Ovis aries: one gene and its partner. The protein of the gene in region 1 interacts with the protein of each later gene in a biochemical or structural test. Links are inferred from orthologs where the notes say so. Each region holds a gene or a part of one and is shown on either strand. Other genes may lie near its edges. The genes, in order: CACNA1H and USP5.

Region 1 (4,578 bases):
TGGGTTCGGCGGACCGGCTGGGGTTCTGCCCGCCTCTGGGAAGCATTGAGTGGCTTCATGGTGTGTGGGTTCCCAAAGCAAACCCAGTCACCCCATCTCCCTCTCCAAGTTTACCCTCCGCAGCAGGAGAGGTTCCAAGAAAGGACGCTGGGTGCCACCGGCATAACACCCACCTACAGGGCAGGGAACCAAGGCCAAGGGGTGTCCTCTGGCCCTGGGATGGACACCACGTAGGTTCCGGCAGACTGCAGGCTACCCACCAAACCCCAGCCTCTCACAAGGAACCTGAAGTGCTCAGAACAGGCTTGCTGAGGCCCACGGGCTTCCCCGGGGGGACCGGCCCCCCGTCGGGCGCACCGTCTTATTTTAGGTTCTCCCTGTGGCCGAGACACCCCTGCACCAGGGCCTGGCACCTGCTGGAGATCACAGCCGTCCCTACTCGCTAGGGCCCTGACAAACCCACCACACTCAACACAGGCAACCTCTCCACGAAATCGGGAGAGCTCCCGGTATTGTGGAGAGACGATACTGGGACCTGAGCTCCCCCACACCCTGCCAGTCGGAAGGGTACTCCCAGATTCCCCGCCCCTGACCTGGCGGAGGGCTCCTCCTAGCCTCTCGACATCCTCCTGCTCCTGGAGTCCCCAGGAGCCCAGGGACAGACACACGGGCAGGTGGCCCTGCCAGCCCCAGCCCCCACCCCTTGGGGCCCCCCCACCCGCATGGGGCACCCCCCTTCCCCTGCACTGAGGAACACAAACAACCTTGTCAGACGTCCCGAAGGACGCAGCCCGCCCGGAACATCCAGAACACAGGGTCAGGCGGGACGGGGACAGGGCGGCCAGACGCGGGGGCTGTCAGGAGAGAGAAAGTGCAGGCCCCGCTCCCGTCCTTCCCTGACTGGTCCCCACGTGTGCCTGCAGATGAAGGACACGGCAGGGGGGCTGCCTCCCCTCCCAGGGCCTCAGGGTGCCCACCGTATACCCCAGTACCCCACCCAGTCGGGCCACCTTCCCGCCCAAACCAGGTGGCCTGAATATGCCCCGGGTTTCGGAGCGAAGACCAGCCTACAGCTCCCCTGCAAGCTCAGCATGGCAGCTGCTGGGGGTTGAGGGGGGCCCCAAGCCCACCCAGGAGCTGTGGGACAAAGGCAGGCAGGGGAGCCTGCTGCCATGCTGGGGCGGCAAGCGGCCGTGGCCCTCAACCCAGGCCACGACGGACCCCTTGCACAACGGCATTGGGGGTGGGGGGCGGGTTTTGGCTACTCTGACTCAGTTTGGATTTCAGGAAAGAAAAAAAAGACAGGGTTTGTTACTTTCCTGCTACACATTCCTCTTTCCTATGTGATGTTTGTACAGTTAGACACACAAGGTAGGAAAAATGTATACACGCATCGCTCACGCGGCCGGTCCCCTTCACGTGGACAGGGAAAGTTCACGGGCAAGGTCTCCCCGCCACCAGCCTCCTTTCCTCAGTCCCCCACCCTGCTGTCACCCAATCCCTCCAGGCTAAGGGGAGGGGACGCCTGGTGCCCACAGCCCAGCCACCTGGCAGCCAGGGGCCCGCGGGAGAATCGCCCAGGACACAGGGAGCCAGGGCCCGCTGACAGTCCCCAAAGGCCATCTGCCGGGGGTCCCCAGCTCTGCTGTGTCCCAGAAATGCCCCCTGCCTGACCCAGCTCTGCTCTAGAACCTTCTCTGAAAGTGTGTCGCTCTCACCAAGAGCAAAAAGAGAGACCCCTTCCTCTTGGGTCAGGGAAGCACCGGGAGAAGGGACACCAGGGTGCGGAGCGCGTGCCAGCTGCCTCCCTGCCCCCCAGCCCCAGCTGCGCATGACTTAAATCAGCCCCAACACCGAGTTCAGCCTGGAAAGGCGAGTTCACAACCGACGTCACCGCCGCTCCCCACGGAAAAGGACCAGCGAGAGCGCAGGGCCTCCTGGCCCCCAGGGTCTCCCAGACTCTCCCAAGTGCAACGGACAGGGAGAAAACTTTGATCCCTTATTGAGGTCCCGCCGGCACCCCCTTCCCCCACCGCAGTGAGGATCCTGCCTCAGGCCGGAGGTCCCGTAAACCCGGAGGGAGGAATTCCCGTCCTGACCCGGCACCCATGGGGGCGCAGGCAGTGCCCACTTCCCTCCTGGCCACCAAGCCCGCAGTGGCCTCGCCGCTTCTATTCCACCCTCTCTCGTCCGGAGCTGGCTCTGGAGCGGGGACACCCCGTTCGGATCAAGAGAGCCGCGGCCGCTGCCCCACAAAGCGCAGCCCGGGGCCGCCTCTCGGAGGAGCGCTCCCCTCGCGCCGCTGTACTGCGTCCTCCGCGCACCCAGACCGCGCCAGGGCCAAAAAGCCCGGGCGTGGGAGGCACACGCGGGAGGGGGTCACGCGCCCCGAAGCCCCGTGCCCAGGATCCCCGCACCCCCGGAGGCCCGGGAAGGATATGGGTTACAGACCAGCCGGAGACACCAGCTGCGCGGCCGCGTGGTCTGCCCGAGACAGAAGAAGACGGTGGCCGCCAGCGCCGGGTACGGGACGGGCTGCTCCTCGTCGGCGCCCAGCTCCGCGCCGCGCTCGGCCGCCGGACTCTCGGGGGGCGACGCACTGGGCCCCGACCCCCGCTCCGCCTCTGGCCCCGGGGCCCCAGGGCTCGCCGGGGACGCCGCCGCCGCCGCCGCCGGGCCCGGGGCTGGCGCGCCCAGGGGCACGCGGACCTCGTCGGCCGCCTGCACGCCCTCGGTCATGGTAGCGGCTGGCAGCACCTGCGGGGGACAGGCGGTGACCAGGTCCCGGGAACGACACCCTCGCCCGCTTCAGGCGGCGCGGGATCCGCGGAAACAGCCACGGCCGCCGGGATGTCTTTGTCTTTTCTCATTAGAGACAAATGCGCCCCCCGCCCCCTCCCGCCGGCGAGCGCTGGGCGGCCCCTCCCCCACCGCCGGGGCGGGGGCCGGCGCCCGAGGGGGCTCCCCCGCCGGCCGCCTCAAGTTGACGAGGGTCCCGGCGCGCAGCGGGGCGCGCGCCCTCGCCGCGTCTCACCTCGCTCCGGCTGCCGGCGGCGTCCCCGCGGGCATGGCCCGGGCGGTGCGGTCACCGCGGACCCGGCGCGGCGATTGGCCCCGGCTGGAGCCCCGCCGCCCCCGGCCCGCGCCCCCGGCCCGCGCCCCCGGCCCGCCGGCTCCCGCTCCGGCTGGCCCGGCAGCGACGGTGGCGGCAGCCGGGCGCAGAGGGCTCCGCGAGGCGGACGGGCGCGGGGCGCCGGGCGCGGGGGGCGCGGACCGGGCGGCGGGGCGGCGAGCGATCGCGGATCCCGTCCGCGCTCCGCGCAGGAAACTTCGGAGTGAGCGGCGGGCGGGGCGGGGGCGGGGCGCGGCGGCGGGGGCGGGGCCGGGCCGGGGGCGCGGGGGGGGCAGCTCCCGCCCCGGAGAGCGCGCGCCGCCCCTCCCCCTTCGCGGAGGGCGCCCCGCCCCCGCCGCCGCGCCCCGCCCCCGCCGGGAAGGCGGAGCCCGGCCCGCCCCGCGCCCCCCATCGCGCCCCCACCCTCCCGCGCGGGGCGCGGGGCGCCAGGGGGCGCTCGCGTAGAGGCTGGGCGGGGGCGGGGCGGCGGCGCCGGCGTCTTCCCCGCCCCCAACTGCGGGGGCGGCCGGAGCCGCGGAGGCGGGCGCTCCCTCCCCGCCGGGGCGCGCACCGAGCCCTTTGGCGCCGCGGGCGGGGGTCGGCGAAGGGGCGGGGCTGCAGGCGTGGGCGGTGCGCGGCGGTCGAGACCGCGGCGGGCGCGCCCCTCCCCCTCCGCATGTGTGTCCTGGGTGTGACCGCGCGTGTGATGCGCTGCTGTATCCGTGGGTGGGATTCTGGGTGCGCGTGCATCCGCACCCCCGCACACACACACACACACATACACGCGCGCGCGCGCACAGCGCACCTACGGCTTTCTGCGAACTTGTCCCTCGCCCAGCCTCCTCCTGGACCAAGCGAGCCGCGTGGGACCTCGGGGAAGCGCCCAGGCCCTCCCGCAGCCCCCCAGCCTCACACTGAGACACACCGCCCCCTGTGCTCCGGGGTCCCACTCGGACCCCTTGGCCACTGAAAACCTCACAAGCTTTTCACTTTTCCACGACCACCAGTCTGGTGGCTCCAAGTGCGACCTCCCTTCTTCCAAGCCCACTCAACGCTGGACAAAGAGAGGGGTGGCTGGTCCACACGGGCGGCTCCAGGGGCCTCCGGCCTCAGCAGTCGCTCGAGTGGGTGAGAGGACCCACGTGGGGACCCCCAGATCTGGAGAGGCCCTGGCAAGGTCACTCAACCAGGGCTTCCCCACCTGCGCTGCGCAATGGCACTGCAGAGACGCAACCAGAATGGGGTGGCCGTGCTGGGGGTAGGGAAAGCCCGGAAGGCCCTGCGCCTTGCTCCACCTCTGGGCCTTGGGGGACGGAAGACGCAGGAAGGCAGGACCATGGCAGTTCCCAGGCAAGGCCCAGGGGGTGTCCAGCGCAGCCGGTCCCTGCTCAGCAGCACTTCCTCTTGTATATGTGAACTTTTCAAGAAAATGAAAACATTTACTCTATTTTAATGCTGCTACTTAG
Region 2 (3,795 bases), on another chromosome or scaffold:
CTAAATAGGAAGGCCTGAGACACACGTGAAAATTTAGAACATATCGACACGTTCTATTCAAAGAACATGAACTGTATTTATCCTCCTGAGTGTCTTCTACCATCCTGTAGCTCCGTCTTGGGGCAGAGGCTTGTGTACCCTGCATGCTCACCTGTTTGGGAAGGGGAGGGAAGGTGAATTGCTGGAAAGACGTGGACCCCAAGTGTCAAACACATGTCTCCCCACTTTGGAGGGACCTGTTCCCTGAACTGGTAGATGAATGCTCCCTTCCCTTTTCCTCTGGGCCTGGCCGCAGCCCCTTCAGTGATCCTTCCCTTGGCTCAGGTACGTGGATAAGCTGGAAAAGATCTTCCAGAACGCCCCAACGGACCCCACCCAGGACTTCAGCACCCAGGTGTACGTAGCCGGGCCTGTGTGCCCTCTTTCTCTTCCATGACCCCCTGAAGTGAGCAACAGTGTAGCCTCTGGCCAGCTAGACACTTTCCAGTTGCTATCTTGCAAGCATGCTGTCTGCCTTGAGTTGGGTTCCCATGGAATCTAAGGTGGTTCACATTTAAGAGAGTTGTCTAAGGGGGTTTGAGCAGGGGTCAAGTTGGGGAGGTAAGGGCTAGATTGGTGGTGTCAGACGGAAGCTAAATGGTTCTCTTGGGTGATGACACAGGGCCAAGCTGGGCCACGGCCTGCTCTCGGGGGAGTATTCCAAGCCAGCACCAGAGTCGGGTGATGGGGAGCAGGTAATGGAGCAGAAGGTGGGTCTGGACCTCCATCCTTCTCAGGCTGTGGAATGGTGGGGAAACTGAGATCCATGTGGGAGGCGTCTAAAGAAGGCCACTTGGTGGCCTCTCGGGCCCCGGCTGAATGGCTGCCCCAACTCTGCCTAGGAAGTCCAAGATGGCATTGCCCCTCGGATGTTCAAGGCCCTCATTGGCAAGGGTCACCCCGAGTTCTCCACCAACCGGCAGCAGGATGCCCAAGAGTTCTTCCTGCACCTTATCAACATGGTGGAGGTGAGGACAGGGAAGGTGGGGGTATTCATTCTCCTCCTGTCTACCTGCACTTCAGTTCACTCCCTTCTTCCCGCTGCTCACCTGTTCCTCCTCCTCTGTCAGCCCCAGCCCAGCCCCACCCCAGTGACCCCAAGCACTGAGCCTTTCCTGAGAGTGGCGTTTGCACTTGAGGACACTTGTTATGCATACAGCCTGATGAAGGATGCTCCCAAAGAAAATGATAGGCGAGTGCTTAGTGCTTAGAAAGAAAGTACAGGGGACTTCCCTGGTGGTTCAGTGGTTGAGACTTCGCCTTCCAGCACAGGCGGGTGCAGTATCAATCCCTGGTTGGGAACCTAGGATCCTCCAGGCCAAGAAACCAGAAACAAGCAATACTGTAACAAATTCAATAAATACCTTTTTTCTTTTTTAATATTTATTGACTTGGCTGTGCTGGTCTTAGTTGCAGCACAGGGGATCTTTGATCTTTCATTGTGGCATGTGAACTCTTATTCGTTTCCACAAGTGGTATCCAGTTCCCCAGCCAGGGATCGAACCTGGGCCCCCTGCATTGGGAATGCTGAGTCTTAGCCACTGGACCACCAGGGAAGTCCCCAATAAAGACTTTTTTTCAAAAGGAGGTCCACATTCAAAAAAGAAAGTACAGGCACTTTCCCACGCAGTCCTGCAGTGCCAGGATGGGCCGGAACTGGCGGGTTGATGAGGGAAGGTTTCTGCTCTGGTCTCCCATCCCTGCACCTCTTTGTGCCCCTCTCCCTTCCACTCCCTTCTCTCCCTGACTCCCCAGTGACTCTTGTAGGCCCCCACCCCAGTGCTTGGCTGTCCAGACCTCCCCACCCTGCCTCTTCCCCATAGAGGAATTGCCGGAGCTCTGAAAATCCTAACGAAGTGTTCCGCTTCCTGGTGGAGGAAAAGATCAAGTGCCTGGCCACAGAGAAGGTGAAGTACACCCAGCGAGTGGACTACATTATGCAGCTGCCCGTGCCCATGGATGCGGCCATGAACAAAGGTGGGTGCTCTGCTACCCTCCCGGGGCCTGGGGTCTGAAGCCTGGCAGCGATGGGGCTTGGGTGCCTTTCAGGAGCAGAGCCCACAGTATCCCTGCTTACCAACCAGGCCAGGGTGTGGGATTAACCTTGCGCACAGCTGGTCAGCTGAGCCGTGCTGAGAAAGAGGCCAGGTTACAGGCAGACGTGTGTCTGGTGGGTTTGGGGAAGCAGAGGAGCTGAGATAGCCGTGGACTCAGAGGCAGTAGGCCAGGGATGAGCGGGGATGTGGCTCGGCCCCTCTGAAGGGTCCACCCACTTGCTTCTGTCACCAGAGGAGCTTCTAGAGTATGAGGAGAAGAAGCGGCAAGCTGAAGAGGAGAAGCTGCCTCTGCCTGAGCTGGTTCGGGCCCAGGTGCCCTTCAGCTCCTGCCTGGAGGCCTACAGCGCCCCCGAGCAGGTGGACGACTTCTGGAGCACAGCCCTGCAGGCCAAGTCAGTCGCTGTCAAGTAAGTCCTATGGGTCCCGGCCTCCGTCAGGGTCCTCCCCGAGATGCTGTCAGCCTCTTTTGCATCCTCTCATCCCTTTGTGGTCAGAACTCAGGCTTCCATCAGCTGAGGCAGGTAACCTGGGGCCTGAGGGGAACCGAGAGGGCCTGGCAGGAGTGGACTTGGATAACTGCTACATGTTACCTTGACCTGCCCCTGCCAGTCTTTTTCCTCTCTTGGGGTGGATGGGGTCACTTTTCAGGAAGCCTCTGTCTGCTCACTTCCCCAGGGCTGGCAGAGCATGGGCACTTAGGAACAGTGGTGGACAGAACTGAGATTTTTAGCACATAGTCTTACTTTTTGCTCACCCGTCACTGGCGTAAACTTGAGATCTGAGAAAGTGCTTTGGTCTCCGAGATTTCAGCCACCTGCCCCTTTGCTGCTCCTGCCCCTAAGAACCCCCATTCCCCTACTTCCTACCTTCTGCTACTGTTCGTCTGCAGACACTCTTGATGCCTGTCCAGGGCAGGAAAGGAATATGAAATTATCTTTAGTGTGGTTAGTTCTTCTACCTATGAGGCTGGACCCGGGTGGGGCTTTCAGGACAGCTTCTCTGGGTACCAGGCCATTCTCTCTTCTCTAGGACCACACGATTTGCCTCATTCCCTGACTACCTGGTCATCCAGATCAAGAAGTTCACCTTTGGCTTGGACTGGGTGCCCAAGAAACTGGGTATGGTTGCCGGGACGAGCAAGGGAGGTTACGCAGAAAATGCTAGAAAAAGAAGGGGCCTTGACATGTAAACTAGTGCTTCTTCAGCTTTCCTCTGAAAGGGGAAACATTATTAAGACTTTGATTTAAAAAAAAATTTTAACTACGTTTTTTAATTGAAGTATCATTGACTTACAACATGGTGTTAATTACTGCTATAGAGCAAAGCTATTCAGTTATATTAAATACATATATATTCCTTTTTAAATTTTTTGTTATGATTTATCATAGGATATTGAGTACAGTGTGCTGTGCTATACAGTAGGACATTGATGTTTAAGACTTCTTTGATTTTATAGTTATGACTTACACAAGCAAAAGTGGTTTTCATAGTTTTATACAGTTGGTAAGATGTTTTCATTCTGATAATCTTGAAATAGTTTGTTTTCACGGGTCTCACAGGCCCCTGACAACTTTGCCAACCCCAGAACTAGCTTCATTTCCTAGAGAAGTTGAGTCCCATGGAAGTATAGAATCGTTCGGTGGCATAGTCAGAGACCCCTCTCTGGCTCGTGGCTCATTAGTGGTAGATCTAAGACTGG

The links.
Region 2: the proteins of CACNA1H (region 1) and USP5 form a complex in vitro, tested with the Homo sapiens proteins (2 studies listed by BioGRID, with this or other methods). The link is inferred for Ovis aries from reciprocal best matches to the Homo sapiens genes CACNA1H and USP5.

The regions. Positions count from the first base shown.
Region 1 is NC_056077.1:1,462,106-1,466,683, reverse strand, and holds the start of CACNA1H (voltage-dependent T-type calcium channel subunit alpha-1H), read right to left. Parts: upstream 2,884-4,578; 5' UTR 2,740-2,883; coding exon 2,442-2,739; intron 1-2,441.
Region 2 is NC_056056.1:209,426,887-209,430,681, reverse strand, and holds part of USP5 (ubiquitin carboxyl-terminal hydrolase 5), read left to right. Parts: intron 1-324; coding exon 325-396; intron 397-661; coding exon 662-749; intron 750-881; coding exon 882-1,007; intron 1,008-1,522; exon of another isoform or gene 1,523-1,595; intron 1,596-1,862; coding exon 1,863-2,016; intron 2,017-2,328; coding exon 2,329-2,503; intron 2,504-3,125; coding exon 3,126-3,214; intron 3,215-3,795. UniProt on the Homo sapiens protein: Deubiquitinating enzyme that participates in a wide range of cellular processes by specifically cleaving isopeptide bonds between ubiquitin and substrate proteins or ubiquitin itself.